Linked DNA regions of Lonchura striata. The protein of the gene in region 1 binds, or shares a complex with, the protein of each later gene. Links are inferred from orthologs where the notes say so. Each region holds a gene or a part of one and is shown on either strand. Other genes may lie near its edges.

Region 1 (10,193 bases):
CACCTACCAAGCACCACATATGCACTGCCTTCTAAACACACAGACTCCTGACAGGGAGCCATCAGTGGGGATGCAAAAAAAGTTGTATCTTTACAAGAGATGAAAACAGACTGGCTGAACATCCTTTGCAGAGTCCGTATTTGAATTACTTCCACCTTTCACTGCAGTATTTCCCAGGAACAGGTCAGGAGACTTGTGTCTCGGGTCTGGCAGCCTCAGGTACAAAATACACAAATCAGTGTTCCTTACACCTTTTTAAATCATTCATCATTGTGTTATTAACAAAAGAACACTGCCCAACTTAGATCACTTTCATCTGGTTAAGTAGAAATGTAAACTTTATCTATACTGCACATGTTACATAAAACCCAACTATACAACTGTCCTTCCTAAATGAAGATTTTGTTATATATACTCCTTTTTTTTCAAAAATAACCACAAAAATATTTGTTACTCTCCATTTTGAAGTTCAGAAAAAAAACCAAAAAAACCTTACTCACACAGCTATACCAGCATAATCCTCAAACGTAAAGTTACTGAAGTAAAGCTGCAGTTTCACCAGCACAGCCTGGCTTGCTTGGAGCTAGACATAATTATTATAACAATACAAAACATAACTCTCATCCTATATATGGATCCTCACAAAGCACTGTCAGTAAATAATGGGAGCTCTGTGTTTCTTAAGTAGGCCTTAGCACAACCATAAATGAGAAAAATGCCGCAAGTACACTCAACACCTGCATCAAGCTAGTACCTGCAAACTGAGAAACTGAGAAACACGTTCCAAACATAATTAAAAATGGTTATATAATTTAATATTTAAGGAAGATAACATACATAGTAATGGTAATTGCATATAATTCAGTTACCTTTTACAACCTGAAGAATTGTTATGAATCAACAAAACCCAAATCCCACAGCACTTAATATTTAGACAAAATCCAGCTTTCAAGAAACTATTTTACAAGTGCTCAAAGGAAAAACATTGTATTTCAAAAGTCACCATTACTTAAATAAGCACTAGTGCTGAGAAGGTAAAAACCAGCCTTTACTTTTATCATGGTGGTTTCTAAATACAAAGCATTATCAACTTCCACCTGTCACCTTTCACAGTTTCCACTATGGTTTCTGTCCTCCACCAACATCCACACAAAATACACTTAACACACAGAACTCTTTAAGAACTGGCCCTATTATCTTCCCACTGAACAGGAGAGAAATTAATCATTAATAAGTAATCTGCTAATATTCTTTATACCTGTTTCAAGATAACTTGGACAACACAAACTTTTCTTATTCTATCAATAAATTCTCCAGCTCCATCGCAAATCAAATTAAATCCTACTTATTTGGGGCAAAAACTATTTTTGTATTCAGTTTTGGGCAGAAAAGCATTTAGGAGTACATTTTTTCAACAGGTATTTTTCATTTCAGGGGATCTCACTAGTCTCCACCACAGTGGCATGATGATCATAAAGGGGAGATATTTAGCACAAAATGTCTACTTCATTCTTACAAAAATTATTTTCTTGAAAAATAAGACAATGAAACACGAATCAAAGCTCTAAAATAAGATCTCCTGAGAAGAAATTTTAAAACATACACCATGAAGAGCTACAAATGGTAAAATTCAGGGTGTACTACCAAGTCACTATGTATTGACTGCACAGTGAAGCTATGCCTAGTATCAAGTGAGAAAGACAGCAAGAAATGGGAGTGCTGCAGATTACTCCAACAAGCCATCATCTATATCACAGCCTTCTTTTGTCTGAGAACTTCAGCTGACCAGCTTGAATCAATACCTTAAAACATTTCCTCATGACTACAGAGCCGTATGAAAGACATGACAAGTAAATAGTCTGCAAAGCATTAACCTGTAAGTAGGTACTCACATTTGACACTGGAGACTGTTTTTGAAGCTGTTCGCTACCAGGAATGATCTAGTATTCCCTAGCTAAACAATTCTCAGGAATGCATGTGGCAATGAATTTAACATTTAAGAACATTTAAGAAAGGCGAAATACTGAAAAGAGATAGCTCTGCGTACATTTTTTACACTGGTAGAAAATGCAACACTTACTAGTAGCAAGCTTCCCCAATAACACCTTGTACAACAGTTACCTACAGTTATTAAAATCTGAGCCCAAAAATGTGGTGAAATACTTAATTGCTACTTATAGAAGCAATTAGTGTAAAGGTACAAGAAGTTTCCAAGAAGCGCCAACACGTGGCGACACTCAGCAAAGTTTAGGGAGCAGGTGAGAACTCATTTATCAAGGCCTAAATATATTACCCTTAATACAAAAAGATACCCTTAAAAATGCAGCAAATTCAAACAGGATTCTAATGGCTGTGGAGCAAGGAATGTGCTTTCCTGGAAAGCAAGACACATTTTGAACAAAACAAACAAACAGAAACCCCAACCACAAGCAAACTCACCAAACCCCAAATCACACCATCCAAAAACTACCACAGGAACAATAGTTCAAAAATCTATTTCAAAGAACTGGGACGTTAGTCTCAAAGAGCAAAATGAAACCCACTGCTCAAAACCAACCAACCAACCAGAGTAAAACTAGGGACAGGGTACACAACAGAAACCCCTAAAAGACCATGTCATACAACACCCACTGCAATGTGCAAAACCATTACTGACTGGGCTAGTATGAGTTCACTTAGAGAAGTAAAGATGCAGCATTTTAAGGTTCCTAAAAAAGGCACAAGGGGCAGGTATTTAGGAGGGGGTCCGTATAAAACAAACAAGGTACAGTCTACGAGGCTTGCACACCCTGAAGAAAAAACTTAAAGAACTCACTTGTATTCATCACTTTACAAAACAATGATACTGACCTATGCCTAAACTCTTTACCTCAAACTAAAGAGTATGCCAGTACTTGATCTCAAAAACCACAGTTATAAAGATTTCTACTGTTCCTGAAACTCATTTCTCAACCTTTCAAGACCACCTCACATAAAAGGGTGTGAAAGTGCCTAGGATGTCACAATAAAGGGTTAGTAACTTCAGGTGTGAAGAACACGATTTCATCTTTTCCTGCTGCTTCGGAAACAAAGACTTTTAATTTTCTAGACCTACTTTAATAATCCATAATATTAACCAGAAGAAGTACAAATTTTCTTCTATAAAAATATGGTGATCACCATTACTAGTGCAAAACTGTTGATAGAAATCCAACTCTGTTCAGTTTCCTGTGGCCTTTCTTATTAACTGCAAAACAAGCTAAAAGCTTAGTTATCATTCTTCTGAATTCCTCTAGGAGTATTACAAATCAATGCCAGATTTTTATACTAGTAGCAAACCGCAGAGGACAGTGGTGTTGGCTGATAAAAATATCTTCCTCTGCCTCAAAAAAATGCTCTTCAAACCACTACATTTTTTCCAGAGCAGGAAATTCTTCTGGATTCCAAACGGAATAATATTTACACCTGAACATCTATTCCAACCTGATAAATCAATTTTCTCTCATTACTATTGTTTCGACCATACTTTTAACAGGCACGCGTCTCAGTTTGATCCTCCAAAAGGTTTGAACTTGCTCTCTGCCGGCAAGAAGCTACTAAAAAAAAAAAAAAAATGCCGCAAGTTACGACAGGTCTAATTTATTTAGGATAAATGACACCTCATCTGTCCGTCGCTTGGGACGCCGCCGTGCCCCGACCCCCGCGCGGCAGGCGCGGCCCATGGCGCAGCGCGGGCAGCCCAGGCACGGGCGGAGAGCGCTCCCCGGCAGCGGCGGCTCCGCCGCGGCCGCGCCTCCCCCCGTCCCCGCTCACCTCGGCGGCCGGGATGTTCACCACACCTGTCGACCTCCTCTTCTCCCTCAGCTTCCTCTTCTCGATCTGCCCCTTCCCCTTCCTGGCGCTGGGGCCCGAGCTCTTTCCCTTGGCGGTCAGCTTCTCCTCGCCCTCGGGGGAACCCGGTGCGGCGGCGGGCTCGGCCCCGCGGCTCCCGGCGAGAGGCGGCGGCGGCTCCTTGGCGGGAGCGCCGCGGCCCAGGGCCGCGCTGGCGAGGCTGACGCAGTTCAGCGCCCCGCCGGCGGGGGGCGCCGCGCGGTCGGGGGGCAGGTTGTTGTTGTTGTTGTTGTGGAGCTCGGCGGAGGGGCCGCCCCCCGCAGGCCGGGGCTCCCCCCCGCCCGGTGCGCCCGGGGCCGGCGGTGCCTGCTTCGCCCGCATCTTCTCCCGCTTGGCTTTCCATTCCTCCAGAAAGTCCGTGGTGCTACCCCCGGCGCTTCGGTAGCCGCCAGTCGCCATGTTCCCGGCGGGCTGGACGGCGAGAGCGCCCCACCAGCACCGCTGCCGCCGCCCGCCCCGAGGCGGCTCTGCTGCCGCCCGGAGAGGAGAGGTCCCGGCGGGTCGGGCGGGAGAGACGGGGGCGGGAGAGTCGGGGGCGGGGAGAGAGGCTCGGAGTAGCACAAACACCCTGGAGAGAAACAAAGGGGGGACGTGAGCCGTCCCGCCGCACTGCCCATCCCCGTCCCGCCGCCTCGCGACCTCCCCGGGAAGCCCCCGACCCTAGGGGACGGGTCTCCATCACCGGCCGCCCTCGCACGCTCGGCTCCCACGGCTCGGACCGCGGCGCCCGGCCCGGCGCGGCTCGCTCCCCGGGGCTCCCCTCACCCCTCGGCGCGGGGCCGCCCGGCAGCACCCGCCTCCTCCGCCCGCCCGCTGCGGCCACGACGGCCGCGCAGCGCCGTCCCTCGCCCCGGGCCATCGGGTACCGTCCCCCGAAGCCGGTGCCATCCCCCCGCCGCCCGCTTGCCTGCCCGGGGAGCCGCGTTCCCGCGCGCAGCAGGGCGGGGCGAGCGCGGCCGGCGCTCACCTCCCGCCCGGCGGGGCCGCGGATCGGGCGCTGCACAGCGCCGGCGGCACCAGGTGAGCGGCACCGCCTCCCACCGTCCCGGAAGGAGCGGTGCGGCTCCGAGCCTTCCCGAGCTCCCTCCCCTTTCCCCATCGCGGCGCGGACACAGCCGAAGCCAGGGCGGAAACTGCCGAGATGGCCCCGACAATGGGGTGAGGGCGGGGAGGTCCCGCCCGGCCCGGTGCCCGCAGCGCTGCGCCGGCACCTGCCCCGGGCAGCGGCGGCGCGGGGCGGACACGGACCTCGGCGCTCCCGACGAGCGGCAGGAACGGAGCGGGGATGCCCGGGCCGGGACGCCGCCGGCCTCCGCCGCACTCCGCTTCCCCGGCGGCTTTGACGGGCGGCGGGCAGGGGCCGCCGGAGCCCCGCCGGGCGGGGCCGGAGAAGGCGGTCCGCTGTCACACCCCTCCGCGGGGGCTCCGCCAAACCCGCCCCGCACCTGCCGCAAAGCCTCGGCTGGAGGGCCCCGACGTGCGGCCGCCGCCCGCGGGCAGGTGCCGGGCTCGGCCCTGGGCGGGGCGGCTCGCTGTCCCCGCCGGCCCGCCGAGAGCCGCGGCGGAGCCCGGCGCGGTCAGCCCGCGGCTTCGCTGGCGTCGGGGACGCGCCGCGCCGGCCCGGCCTCAAAGCGCGGTGCCGCCGCCGCGCTGTGCGGCGGGGTCGGGGCGCGGTGGGAAAGAGCCCGAGGTCAGTGGCTCCCGCGGCAGAATGGCTTCCTCTGGGCCGCGCCGGTGCTGGGCAGGCTGCTGCTAGCCTGGTGGAAGTTCACTCCCGGGGGCGGAAGGTTGGGAAAGATCCTGTGTTTTCCTGACGTTACAAGACGCCAAGATTCAAGGGGTTTCCGCCAGTCATGCAGCAAAGACTTGACAGATGTCTCGTATAGAAATAATAACAGCCCTCAGTGGGGAAACCTGACTGTGTTAAATGTTAGGAAACGATCATGCAAGGACCGTGGTGGGAGCATGTGCTATCTGTTGAAGAGCTTATGTAGGTGATAATATGGATAAACGTGCACCGAAAACTCAGCTGTTTTTTTGGTTTTTCGAACTCACTGTGTCTTTGTAACACCCTGGATCGTGGTACTTTTGAAAATCACAGCTTTCAATAGATTTGTGGCTTGCTTAATCGTGCTTTATGAGTGGTATGTTGAGGAAAATTAGTGTATCAGTGCCACCTTTCCAGCTGACTCAGGACAAGATACAAGCTTGCATCAGTCAGAGGAAATCCATATAGCCTGGATTTACCTAGCTGAGAGCACATGATCACCTTTTCTCCTCTTTTCAGATTCAGTCCTGAATTTGTCCATCTAGTTAAAAAAAAATCAGTAATACTTCAGAATATAAACTTTGCAATTATTTTTAGTTTCTTTTTACAGAAAAATAAATATATAGGTGATACGGATAAAAAATATCCAGCAAAATGGAGCTCCAAGTATCTGCTGCTAGGCTCTCTGCACAATGTGAATAACAGGATTAGTCCATGTAGCCACTTGTGCCTTAAATAAGCCACTACTTCATTCTCTTTCACAGCAGTGGGCACAGTTTCACCCTGCCAACCTTCTCTGCCCTTCTGGTGATCATTCATTTACTTGGACTTTTCACTGACCTCATATCTGATTTCTGCTCTGGTTTGGATTTAGGGGTGTTTCTGGTGTGGTGGTTCGTTTTGAAGAGGCATTAAAATGTTATTATAGGTGGAAGTTAAGTTGCAGCTTCATTACTGCGGACAAAACCTCTTATCTTTCAAGCCAAGGGAAAATCCCCAAACAAAACCAGCTAGTTATTCAGTGTTGGGTTGGAAAGCTGTAAGTAGGCGGAAAAATAGATGGCAAAAACATAGTTCTGGTACTCTTTTCTACTCGCCAGTACAAAATAAGTAAAGTTGGTTCTAAAAGAAGTTTTGACTATGCACTCTCTTGAAGAAAGAATTCTTACCCACACTCTTATGTGTAGTTTTTAAATTAGTCAAGTACTCAATTGTATTTCTAGAAAACATAATCTAGAAAAAGGATTTCTGATATGAGTTCTTGTCACTCCTATCATGTAATTTTTCCCCCATTTATACAATGAAGAGCTTTTCTTGAGAGAATCATATGATTGTGAAAATACAGTATTTCACCCTCATTATTACACACCATGAGCAGCACAGCTGGCCAAATATTAGCAAAACAGTCATATTAGAAAGTTGTTGTGTATACAGCATGTTGTGTATATTGAGAAATACAACAATGTACTTTAGTTCTTAGGACACGCTCAGTTCTCTGTTACCCAGGTCATGCCAGCTGCCCCTTGAGCCCCTCTCTCTGTGGCAATCTGTAGCAGCTAGCAAGGCTTAGATGTGCCTGCCCCACTTCATGTCCCATGTGCTCACCTTTCTTATGTGTAGGAGCTGACATGTCCAGGCTTTAGCTGCATCTACCACTGCTGGTTTTTTTCTCTCTACTGTAAAAAACATTGTGAGGTTGGGGGAAGGGGGTGTTTGGGGTTTTTTGGTGCTTTTTTGTTTTGTTTTGTTTTTTGTGCCAAAAACGCTTTGTTTGTTTTATAGTCTGTTATAAATTAACAAAAGTTATGTTGTGGTGAGTGAGGTTGGGCTTAAGTGCCCAATACAGAAATGCTGACTGTCAGATGTTTGCATCTCAATAAGGTTGTCTGTGCTGGAGAGCTTTCAGGGATAAAGTCCCAAATAGTTTAAGTATCTGTTTTCCTCTGCCACAAGGGAGAACAGTTTAATAGCTTACAAACGTTTTTAGAACAACATTTTTCTCTTTTCTTACAAAGGAAAATTAATCTTCAAGATATCCTTAAGTCCTAGAAATACAATTCATTTTATTAGCTATGTTTTAAGCTGGCATAATGTAAGGGTCCTTAAGCCTTAAGATATTGGTTTTTATATATTCTGGAATGACATTCTTCCCTAGAGGTAAAATTACCACCAGGATTGGGTAGGATGATATTGGTCTCCTTTGCCATGGAAAAAAATACTTCATTTTTTAATTTAGAGTAAAACCCATGATTCATTCTTAAAATCACAAGGAAATGAAGTGCCTTTTGGGGTTGGGCACTTCAAAGCTGCCTTCTTTGTAAAGGGTTGCAAGCTGCTTCAGGTCTTCATAATTTCTTCTAGAGATTAAGCCAAATTATCCAACCTTATTAACGTTCTGAATTCAAGTTTATCTGAGCCATAATCTTTTCTGAAGTGGCAATTTTCAAGAACTGGAAAATAAAATAGAGAACATAATAGCATATTAATGGCTGAGGAAATTAAGGACAACATCCAAATTCCTGCCCAGTGTCTGTTTACTTGTTACCATCACACTCTGAGCTTAGCAAACATTTGTTATATACATTCGTGTTCTGCACTGAAACATTCCCTCCATCTCACGCTCTTCAGCATCTCTCCCCAAAGTCTCTGTGTTCACCTGCCTGATTCTCAAACACACATGCTCCTCCTTCTGCTCCAGACTTTGCCTCTGCCTATTACTGGGATTTCCATGAAACTCTTCCACTTGGTGCACCTGCCTACTGCTTCCCATACTGGATCCTCTTTGAAGTTCATTCACTCATCATTCTTCATCTTTCTTCTCCCAGTCCAAACTTCTACAGTCACATACTTGCTCTACCTGCTTTATCACTCACGCTTTATTAAACTAGGTTTATTTAGCTTGCACTGATGATGTTCCACTAAACTTTCCCTCTCTGTTGCTTTAAATTTTACTTTCTGGATAACCCTCACCCATATCACTGTACCCTAACTAACCCACCTACCTGCTTATTTCTGCACTATCTGTCCAGAAATGCTGTTGCTTAAAATTGCTGTGATTTAGTGAAATCTTACAGCCATATTTTTGTAGGAACAGCTGTTCTTTTTATCCATAAAATTTCAAAAACCTCTCTTTAAACCTTTCGTGTTAAATCTCTGGCTGTAACTTCTGTCTAATCTTACCATAAATTCCCTGCCTATGTTCCATGACATTTCTATTGTCAAATCTCACCTGAAAGTAAAATAGTCCTCAAGCATATAATCCTCCTTTTTAACCTTTTATTGCTAGTGGTCTTGGGTGCTTTTGTCTAAATGCAGGTGAACTGCTATCCCTTTCAATTTAATACTACTATCTGCTACTTTTGAGCTATGTACACTGTTCTGAGAGGCTTAGCCTATCATCAGGGATTTTCCATTTCCTCAACTTTTCTTGCAGAAATTGATTAAATTTTTCTCTTTTTCCCCCTCACTACAGATGGGGGGCATAGTGCTAACCTTCTGGCTAGGTTTCCCTCTCTAAGGTTCTAACAACTCATTATGTTCTAGTTGCTGTAGTCAGTGGTTTAAATGGATTGCTTTCTTACATTTTGTGTCTGCAAACTTGCACAAATCTGACAATCCTGCTTTTAATGAAATGCCATTTTTATCCTATTTGCGGTGATACCGAGTTGCATGCTTAAACCTTTTTTTTTTTAAAGTGCTAAGGTCTGATTTGAAATCTTATGTGTAAATAAAACAGCTTTGTGAAATAGCTGGATTTATCAGCAGGCATTACTGAGTGCATCCTCTAGTCTTATTTCTGTATGTGTTTTGCCATTCTTGAACTCTGCTATCATTTCACCAAAAAGCTAAGTAGTTTCTTTGAACTAGTTTGGTTTGACAGACAAACTAGTATTGTTTCTTGCAGCAAAGCTTATCATCTGTCTGATGGAAGAATGCAGTGTCAAAAGGCAAAAAACAAACTGACAGAAGTTTGCTTGATGTATTTTTTTTTTAAGTATTTAATCTTACAGTATGAAAAAATAATTCAGAGATTTCCATCTGTCTCCAGTTGGCAGTTGTTGGATAAGAATGACAGTGGGGTTGGGAATGGATTCAGCATCTGTGCAGATGGCTTTGGAAGTGTGATGAGAATGCTTAAAGGATGTAAGCCAGCCTTGGGTGTTTTCTAGGGCCTGTCTTTGTGCCACGTTGTCCTCTAGAGTCCTGATTTCTTGGGAATGCCCTAAATGGGCAGCTGGCCTGCCACCATCTTCATTAGTGGAGAGTTAGTTACCCCACTGCTGTGCCATTTAAGATCCTGTCTATCACCTTGCTGATAAAGAGCTGACTGTACTGCTCCATGTGACAGAAATAATATCATAGGTGTAAACTACCTTATAAGATAACCTTATCTTATCCTTTTTATGATGTTTCCAGCACGTATGGAGCCTACTCATTCTTTTTAAAGACAGCACCCTCTGACATATGCCTGCTTTAGTTTTAGATAGTTCTGCAGAAACAGGGAGTTGGACACAATGACCCTATGGGTCCCACCCAACTCAAGATACTTCTGTGA
Region 2 (10,171 bases), on another chromosome or scaffold:
TTCACATCTCTGCATGAAGCAGATTTGAATTTACAAGAGGCCATTCAAACCAGAATTTAGCCAGGGAGAAGCCTGCAGAAGTTTAAACCAAGAATTTCTAAACATCTGAGACCAATGTAGCCTTCTCATGTAGAGAACGGCCTGGCCTTACCCCTTGCTTGCTTTTCTTGGCAGTTTACCATCTGTGGCTCACGTTCTTCAGGACGAAGTTGTTTCTGCAGTTTTTGTGCAACTGAGTGCCTTTGTACATTTATGGTGTCAAGGCCCCATCTGGGATCTCCTCAGGACAGATTCCTGACTTGATAACACAGCAGCTCTCCAAAGAAAGCAGTTTGAAGCTAGCATCCCCACAGCTGCTCTGACTTAGAAGCTTCATCAAATTCCCCTTCCAGGCTAAAAGAAAAAGCCCATGTTTGGTAACTCCATCCAGATATCACCACCTTCTGCCCCAAAGCTCTCAATTGCTCTCACTTTGGTATCTGGCAGATGCTGCTGGTTGTTGGGGTCCTTTTGTTTGTTTGTTTAAGTAAAAAGCTTTTCCTTAAAGAGAAAGCTTTGTAAGAGAACAAAGAAATGTGTTACTTTCTCCTCCCAGGGGAAGTTTTATTGTTATACAGCAGCAGCACTGCTTCACTCGAAGTCTGTCTTCCCATGTTCTAGAACAGAAAAAACTCACAAAGCCATGAGACAAGGAAACATCAGTGGACAAAACCCTCCGGCATTAAGGAAAAAAGCTAAGGCAAAGCCATGTGGCTGATTCTCTACTAAATGAGAAAAAGATGCTAACCCAAAAGGCTCCGAATCTGACCTGCAACGCTGAAGTACAACACATAAAAGCAGAAGGGAGGATGATGAGGCATCTCCCACAGGAGTGGAACAGTGCCAAATCCACACCTTCCAACCCCCACCCCTCCCTGTGGCACAGGTAAGACATTTCCCACCTTTCCCACCCCACTGCCAGAACCAGCCCAGTGCAGAGCCCACGAAATAAAGCCTGGAAGCAGCATCCAGCCCAGCCTCAGCCAGCAGACAGGCAAAGCCTTTGGGAATTCTGCCTTTGGGAATTCTGCCTTTGGGAATTCTGCCTTTGGGAACGCTGGGTGCCTGGGGAGCCGTGGCCACACACGGAGGAGATGTGGAGGAAGGGGCAGCCAGCCCACAGCTGTGCCTGCCTGCAGCACTCATCCCTCCAAACCCCGCTCCCTGGTGCACACAAACACACACACACACACACAAACACACACACACACACACACACACACACACACACACACACACACGGTGCCAGCTCAGCACATTCAGAGCAGTCCCGGGCAGGACACGTGTGACAAAGAGAGGCAGCACTGAGCCCTGCAGCAGCACTCACAGCTTCTCCTTGTGCTCCAGGACACCTTCCCTCTCCTCTTTCCTAAAGAGCTAGAGGTTCCTAAAGCCCTGAAGGGCTCTGCAAGGGCAGCCTGCAGCCCCCAGGCAGCCCCTCGGGCTGGCACAGTGACTCAGTTTCCCTGGGAGCAGGACAGGGCTCATGCTGCAGCTCAGGGTTCTGTCAGTGCCTTCCCCACTGCCCCCACAACCTTACTGGGAATTTTTTTTGTATCTCCTTCCCTTAAACGCTCCGGAGTTCAGGCAGCTCATGCCACCCCAGAGCTACAGATAAAAGCAGTTCCTGTACCAAATTAACACCCAGAAGGATTTTTCTTTTGGCTGTAAAAACCACTTAGTCTGCAAGAGAATTTTCTGACCAGTACCACAGATCAATTTACTTTATCCCAGGAGTTTCCAAAGCATTACCATTAAGGGCAGAGCAGTGCAGAGTTAAAAGGGAATGGATGTTTTAGCAGTCCCTGGGAAAACACTGTTAACAGCAGCACATTTTCCCCACCATGTGCTTGGAAACTGTTATTTTTTAGCTATATTTTCTCACACTCAGCAGAGAGTATTTGACCATTACCTGTAGCCCACATCCTATCTTTGTTAAGGACAAGTGCTCTCTTCCCCCAGCAATTATTCATGGAAACAGAGACAGCTATAGCAGTTACTCACATGGAGCAACTCAAGGGAAGATTTCTTTGTTTCCCAGAGCAGTGCAGTAACTGAAAGTGAGTCAACACCTTGACATGAGCTCATTCTGCAAAGGCCACCAGCAAAGGAACCCAGTGACTGCAGTCTGGTACCAGACACTTACTCACTTCTACTCTGCAGGCACCACACAGCTTTGTCTGACAGAGCTGGTGTCTGACTCGTGCCTTGGCAAGGTAAGCTGTGGGTTTGAGCTCCACCACACACCTGGAAACACAAAGGAGGGCAGCCAGCCACAGACCAGGTTTGGGAAGCTCACAGCTCAGGCGGGTCTGTCAGCTGCTCCTCGCTGCTGCTATGCTGAGCTGTTAATGCAAGTACAAGGCTCCTGCCACAGGGCAGGGAGATAAGCTCAGCCCAGCTGAAATCACCTCACTGGTGCTCCCTGCCAGCCCCAGTCAATCCTCACCCCTTGTCAGCAGCAGCCCTGGGTGACTCCAGGCTCAGGAAGTACAAGTGTACTAAAGCCCAAAATCGCAGCCACCACTTGCACTGGCCTCAGAGCCAATTCCAGAGCATGCAGAGGCATCAGCCACAAAATCTGAGCAAGACACAAACTTCCGAGAGCCACAGAACATACTCCAATGCACATCTCGTGTTCTTCAAAAGGTACATTGTGACTTGGAGTATTATCTGTCAGCAGTGTCTGCACTCAGGCCCAAACCCTGGCACAGTGTCCTCACTGGCTCATTAGCTACAGATTTTAATTCCAGGAACTTAATGAATTCTTAATTAGCCCTCAGAAGACAAGCAGACCTTGCAGACTGCTTTCACTTTTTCTGAGGGAAGGAAAGAGGGTCCAGGGGAAAAAAACAACCCAGGCACAGGAGAGCAACAAGCAGAGGCCATTCCCCACATCCAGCAGCAGCAGTGGCTGCACACGAACGCAGCACGTAGCAGCTGGCCAGTTCCTGGAACACCAGCCCACGTCTCGGCAGCATCCAGCAGTTTACAAACAAGCTCCAAAGCACATCACAGTGCACTTCAGTGACCTCCAGAGCACAGGAGAGAGGCTGCAAAGGCTGCTGCACTGCAACAACCCAACATCCCCTGAGGAATCCGCTGCTGCAGCTCGTCCCCTGCCTTTCAGGGGGGTGAAGAGCAAATTGCTGCTTTTTATATCCATCAGCACCACGACTGAGAGCCTGGGCAGGGCCAGCACGGTGACACGGTGACAGGCAGGGAGGGACAGGGCAGCTCCCGCGGGCAGCTCAGGGAAGATGCTCCTCCACATCTGTAAACAGCAGCACGGCTCTGTCGCGTTCCTGGCTGTTCCCTTAATAACTCACCAGGAAATTTCCTTCCTTGCAGGCTGGGAGAGCCACTCTGACCATCCCATAGCCACACCACTGTCACTGTGAGGCCCTGGAGGCACTGCACAGTTTGGTCCTGGCGATGCAGCAGCCAACTTACTCCAGCAAGACTGAGCTGTCTGTGCCGCTGAGCTTTGCAACGCTGCATCTGGTGTAGAAATCGGATGTTAGAGGGGTGGGAAAGATTACTCCTGGGACAAAAGGCTCATTGAGCCATCCTGCATCGCTATCATGGGGAAAAAAAAAAAAAAAAAAAAAAAAAAAATCTCTCTCCAAGGAGCAACTCCCACTTTTACAATCGTTTTGTAAACTTCCTTATCTCGAGCCATGGCTCAGACAATTGACAGTTTTTGAATCAGGCATGGTCACCAGGCACCCTGGCTGCTCACTTTAGCCAGGGAATAAGGACAAAACACGGCACAGTCCAGCAGGAGGCTACAGCAAGACTGACCTTACAACAGCACTCCAGGTCCTCCAGCAGGAGGATTATGTAAGCCCCCGTTGCATTGGCAGAGGTTCGTGTAGCAAGAAAAGAGACACAGTAACCAGACCTTGTAAGGTGCGCTCCGGAGCCCCCCGCGGTAAGCACGGCCCCGGAGCGAACAGCCCCGCTGCCCTCCCGAGCCGGGGCGATCGGCACCGCTGCTGCTGTCTGCTCCCGGACCCGCACCCGGCACCGGGCTGAGCCCCGCACCCGGCACCGGGCTGAGCCCCGCACCCGGCACCGGGCTGAGCCCCGCACCCGGCACCGGGCTGAGCCCCGCACCCGGCCCCGGGCTCAGCCCCGCACCCGGCCCCGGGCTCAGCCCCGCACCCGGCCCCGGGCTCCGACCCGCACCCGGCCCCGGGCTCCGGCAGCCGCTCCTCCCGCGGCATCCCCGGTGCGGCTGCAGACCCCCGGTGCCCATCGCCCCCTCGGTGCCCCGGGCCCCGGCAGCGCTCGGCCTCGCCCCGGCTCCGCGGCTGGCACCGCTCCGCTGGCACCGAGAGCGGAGAGGCCGCGGAGCCGCCCCGCCCCGCCCGCTCCGGCTCCTACCGTGCCCGGGCTGCCCGCCGGACCATGGCCCCGCGCCGTGCCGTGCCGTGCCCCGGGCAGGCCGAGCCCCGCGCCCGCTGCTCCGGCGCGCCCAGCGGGGCCGGGCCGGCATCACATGGCCCAAATAGCGCCCGGCACGGCCCCGCTCCGCCCCCGGCCCGGCCCGGGGCGCGGCCGCTCCGCCCGGGCAGCGCCGGCGGCGGGCGGGGCCGGGGAGCGGCGGGGCCGGGCCGGGAACCGGGCCGGGAACGGGGCGGGATCGGGAACGGAGCGGGGCTGGGGACCAGCGGGGCCGGGAACGGAGCGGGATCGGGAACGGAGCGGGGCTGGGAACGGAGCGGGGCCGAGCAGAGAGCGGGGCTGGGGACCAGCGGGGCCGGGAACGGAGCGGGGCCGGGATCAGAGCGGGGCCGGGAACGGAGCCGGGCCGGGATCGGAGCCGGGCCGGGATCGGAGCGGGGCCGGGAACGGAGCGGGGCCGGGATCGGAGCCGGGCCGGGATCGGAGCGGGGCTGGGAACGGAGCGGGATCGGGATCGGAGCGGGATCGGGATCGGAGCGGGGCCGGGATCGGAGCCGGGCCGGGATCGGAGCCGGGCCGGGTCGCTGCCGCCGGCCGAGGTCGCGATCGCGGGGCACAGCGGCAGCCCCGCCGCGGCGGTCCCGGTGCCCACGGCGGCCCCGGTGCCCACGGCGGCCCCGGTGCCCATCCCCGCCCCGGTGCCCATCCTCGCCCCGGTGCCCATCCCGGCCCCGGTGCCCATCCTCGCCCCGGTGCCCATCCCCGCCCCGGTGCCCATCCCCGCCCCGGTGCCGGCTCCGTTCCGTGTGAGATCCGCGCTGCTCCCCACGCTCGCTGCAGACCGGGCCAGCCCCGGGCGTGGCGCTGGCATCCCCGCGCACCGTGCGGGCGCTCGGCCACCGCTCCATCCTCGGTGTCCCGGTCCCGCGTTTCTGCACATAAACGGGGATCGGGCGCGGGACGGGGCTGCCCAGGGAGGCGGCGGAGTCTCCGTGCCTGGAGGTGTTTAGGAAATGCACTTTGTGCCATGCTCCGGTTGACGTGGTGCTGTTATGTCACAGGATGGACTCGGTGATCTCAGAGGTCTTTTCCAACCTAACCGATTCTGTGATTTGTTTCAACCGCTCCTGGGAATGTCTGTTTGCTTCTTAAAGACTCATGTGTTTACAGAAATAAACCAGGGAAGTACAATTCTGTTCTTTTCAGTCCTCATTCTAAAATCAACCCTTCGGACAAATCTGGCCCTGTAGTGCCCCTTTGAGATTATTAATTTTTCAGCGTTTCCAGACAAAAAGACTGGTTTGTAGCGATGCTGCTCAAGCTGTAAAGCCGTGGATTGTCATAAATTCAGCAAGCCATATTGCATGGGATACCTCCAAGGACCACCTAGGAGCTGCAGGAAGTGGTGCGAGTGATTCAGGAGGTGGCAGCCTGCCATCTGAGTCAGTGTGGAATGAATGCCCCTGCACGCTGCTGCAGTCACTGCTTTTTGGGGTTGGACAATAGCATGGGTCTTGACATTTCTCGTCACTGATGGTCTTGGGGCACTCGTGGAAAAAGAGCATGGTTAATTCAATAATTTGTTGAGCATATTTTGATATCTGTGGGGAATAGTTCCTCTATGCCAGCCACTGTGGTCCTTCAAAAAAAAAAAACCACATTCACATCAGAATAAATTTATTACTCTAGCTGACCAGAAACACCGGGGACATTGTAGATACAGCACAAATACGTTCTTTCACACCCTGCAAAATAAAAATAGGAGAGTTTATGTCAAATAGATACATATTTGGGTAGCTTTTTCAAAACTAGTTTGCTTTGACCTGGTCCTGCTCATATTTAAGTTACTTCCCCCCACTAATTTCAGGGAGAAGTGGGGTGGAGGAGTGAGAGGAGCAGCAGGGAAGCTGGAGGAAACCAGACATGACAAGTGCTGAAGCAGAACTTCTCAGCTTTGTGGTGGCTTCTCGCCAGATGAGATCACAGCTCCTATGGAATCCTGTCTGCTTTTATTTCCTTAGCATTTGTCTTTCTTGCTTCCTCAAGAAGCAGGAATTGCTGACCTTCAGTCGCTTGCTCTGAGCGCTGTCTCCATCTCAAACAGCAGCACAGAGGCAGAGGGGGTGAGTGACAGGGGCCAGCGTTTGTGGCCTGCAATGGGATCCCTCTAAGCCTTTTTGGAGAACTGGCTGGGGATGGAGCCTGGATTAGCTGAGACTTTCCCAGCTCCCATCCTTGTGAGTTTTTGCTGAGACGATTGAAAGGAAGGCAGGAGGAGGAATGGCTTGGCAGGGCTGCTTTCCTGTGATCAGCATTCAGCGCTACAGATTAGCCCTGGGGACTGACAGGGATGAGCATCCACCTTCTGAAAACCCTTTTGGATGTCTGAAGCGAAATATTTAAATCCTTGGGGCTCCCAGCATGGCGTGTGAGGCTGGGACAGACTCTGTGGATGGGAGGGACACTGCCCTTGCAGCTGGCAGGCTGCAGCAGAGGGGATCCCATTGCTCACACAGAGAGCCCCGAGCCCTCTGAGCCCTGGGCAGGGGAGGGCTGGGAAAAGGCTCTCAGCAGCACGGGCAAGCAGCACCCTCTGCTGCTGGCAGAGCTGGCTCCAGAGAGGTTCAGAAGAGCCGAGGAAAGGCACCTGCAGCAGCTCCTCTGCAAAGGAGAGCAGCTCTGTGTGCTGGGCACTGAGCAGGGTCAGTTCTGTGTGCTGGACGCTGAGCAGGGTCAGTTCTGTGTGCTGGGCACTGAGCAGGGTCAGTTCTGTGTTGGACACTGAGCAGGGTCAGCTCTGTGTGCTGGACACTGAGCAGGGTCAGCTCTGTGTGCTGGACGCTGAGCAGGGTCAGTTCTGTGTGCTGGGCACTGAGCAGGGTCAGTTCTGTGTTGGGCACTGAGCAGGGTCAGTTCTGTGTTGGACACTGAGCAGGGTCAGTTCTGTGTGCTGGACGCTGAGCAGGGTCAGTTCTGTGTGCTGGACACTGAGCAGGGTCAGTTCTGTGTACTGGACACTGAGCAGGGTCAGCTCTGTGTGCCAGACACTGCGCAGGGTCAGTTCTGTGTGCTGGGCACTGAGCAGGGTCAGTTCTGTTCTGGACACTGAGCAGGGTCAGCTCTGTGTTGGACACTGAGCAGGGTCAGTTCTGTGTTGGACACTGAGCAGGGTCAGTTCTGTTCTGGACACTGAGCAGGGTCAGTTCTGTGTTGGACACTGAGCAGGGTCAGTTCTGTGTTGGACACTGAGCAGGGTCAGCTCTGTGTGTTGGGCACTGAGCAGGGTCAGTTCTGTGTTGGACACTGAGCAGGGTCAGCTCTGTGTTGGACACTGAGCAGGGTCAGTTCTGTTCTGGACACTGAGCAGGGTCAGCTCTGTGTTGGACACTGAGCAGGGTCAGTTCTGTGCTGGACACTCAGCTCCTGCAGGAAATCCTTGTACAGAGAAATTCTGGGTGTGTGAGAGCAGGGCCAGCTTTGCTTTGCTGCAACACCCTGTGCCAGCCCTGCACTGCTGCAGCACCAGTGCCATCCCTGCATCTCTGCAGAGCCCTTCCAGCTGCAGGGAAAACAGCCCTTCCTTCCAAGCCCTTCCTCCCAGGAAAACCAGCACGGGTGCATCAGCAGCAGTGCAGCAAGAACACTGATTTAATTCCTGCCATGCTCCCCTGCCAGGAGAGCCAAGCGTTCCCCATGGCACTGCGATGGAGCTGCTGCTGCTCCCCTCCCTGCCTGGATGAGGGGTCAGCTGGGATTTTCCTGTGGCAATCAGCTGGAGGTCAGGACTCAGTTCTGGGACCTTCCACGGGCCCTGCCAGCCCCGAGCCACAGCTGGGCTCAGCTGCAACTTCAGCTGCAGCCCCTGAGCTCAGAGTCAAAAACGCAGCTCTGGGAAGTGTGTGCTCTGGAGAACTCTGTGCTGGGCTGACAGTGTCCGTGGAAATGCAATGGAAATGTGGAGCAGGGGAGATTTCCTGGCCTGGCCTTTCCAGGACCCTGCACAGCACTGGGTGATTCCATCTTCTCACCTTAAAAGGGCTTTGGCTGCTCCTTACTTTGAAAAGTCCTGGCCTTGCCTGGATGAAGAAACCAAACAGCAAGAGTCAGAGTGAACATTTAACACTGCAGTGACATTGTGGCATTGCACAACTAAAACCCTGAAATTTCACTCACCAGGACGACAGGGAAAGACCACCCATCTCTGGAAGAAATTAAAAGACACTTCTGGTTAAAAACTATTTTTTATCAGTATAATTCTCCATTCATTAAACATCAAAAGAATCACAAAACTTTACTCGCGGGGAAAAAAAAGAGATTTTACAATTTGATTTATAAAAGTTGAATTTAAAAATTAGTTATTTCCAGTTTTCTGTAAAACATATAATCATACCATTGAATTGTAGGAATGCACTTGACATTAAAAAAATTGATAAAAATCAGTATCAATAATGACTCATGGGAGAAACAGACTCTAAGAAGTTACTCCATGGAGCTGCCTTTGCAAAGAAAGATTAATACAAGCTCTTAAGAAGGTGCACACCTTCTATTAATAACTTTCACAAAATAAAAATAGCCCTGCTTCCTTGGCCTACAGCCCAGTGGATTGCTGCCATTCCTCCTCATCAGATTTGTTGCTCATTTAACCCTTCTTCCCATCCAGTCTCTCTCTTTCCAGACATAAATTTTGTATACGCAAAAATATTTGGTTTTCATTTAGCAAATGCTAAGTATTAAAGAGTTTAACAGAAACTGTCTGTGTGGAAAAAAATATACTTCTGAAAAATCCCCCAAAGAATCCAGATAGCTCCACTCACCAAGGAAAACATGTGGAAACTTTGAATGGATTTTAATAAAATCTCTGATAAATTTTGGGGTGACCCACTAGATAGAGACTTCACAAATAAACCTTATTTTCAGCTGCAAAGAACAGTAGCTCCCTGGGGAAAACCCATGTGCTTATTTCAAAGTGCAAATAAACGTTTCAGTGTTTATTTCAAGAGGTGCCAGCCACATATTATCAAGCAAGTGTACAAAAATAGGAAAACTCTAATGCTACAGTCATCTGTAAGCGAGGAATAAACCCTGTTATTCCTAACAATATAGCTACTCTCTCATTGGTCATTTCCTCATTAAAACTTGTTCCCTCACACCAAATACAAAGAACTGGAATGAAGTTAACATGGGCATTTTGGTTTAAAAAGAAAAGATTCCTAAAGCCAGCAGTTCCTCTGAGCAGCAAGCTTTCCCCCGGTGATGGCTGCGCTGCTGGAAACACAGCTCTGTGAGCTGCCACAATTCCTCAGCCTGTGCCCATCATTTTGGGAGCCCCCAGAGCAGTTTGTGCCCCGTGGCACAGCCACCCCTCCACGGAGGCAGCCAGCTACTGCCCGCAGGCTCTGGCACCTGGCAGAGGCTCGGGGCTGCACGTGCACACCACCATCACTGCCCTGAGACCACAGCCTGCCCAGCCAGGCCCAGCAGGGCAGGGCATCAGCGTGGTGCTGCTGTCTTTTAGCCTGAGAATGATGTAAAATTAGAAAGAATTTGGCAGGCGGTTGATTTAACAAAGTGCCTGCGAGGTAGGTACACGCCAGCAAGCACAAAGGCCTGACAGGGAAACTGAGGCACTTCAAGGTGAAGTCGTTTGTCCAAAGTGTCAGTCAGAACCCAGAGCAGAGCCAGAAAGCTGCACTGGGCTCCTGGCTCCTCCTGAGCTCTGGCC

What was found.
Region 2: the proteins of PAWR (region 1) and SPSB1 are in contact, whole or in part, in a crystal structure (PDB 2JK9), measured with the Homo sapiens proteins. The link is inferred for Lonchura striata from reciprocal best matches to the Homo sapiens genes PAWR and SPSB1. Residues at the interface, in NP_001341661.1 of Homo sapiens: Glu68, Leu69, Asn70, Asn71, Asn72, Leu73, Pro74; in NP_079382.2 of Homo sapiens: Arg77, His78, Pro79, Val80, Ala81, Gln82, Gly110, Thr111, Tyr129, Val216, Trp217, Gly218.

Annotation. Positions count from the first base shown.
Region 1 is NC_134607.1:48,542,834-48,553,026, forward strand, and holds the start of PAWR (PRKC apoptosis WT1 regulator protein), read right to left. Parts: upstream 4,275-10,193; 5' UTR 4,270-4,274; coding exon 3,793-4,269; intron 1-3,792. UniProt on the Homo sapiens protein: Pro-apoptotic protein capable of selectively inducing apoptosis in cancer cells, sensitizing the cells to diverse apoptotic stimuli and causing regression of tumors in animal models.
Region 2 is NC_134626.1:1,321,260-1,331,430, reverse strand, and holds the start of SPSB1 (SPRY domain-containing SOCS box protein 1), read right to left. Parts: upstream 4,517-10,171; 5' UTR 4,429-4,516; intron 1-4,428. UniProt on the Homo sapiens protein: Substrate recognition component of a SCF-like ECS (Elongin BC-CUL2/5-SOCS-box protein) E3 ubiquitin-protein ligase complex which mediates the ubiquitination and subsequent proteasomal degradation of target proteins.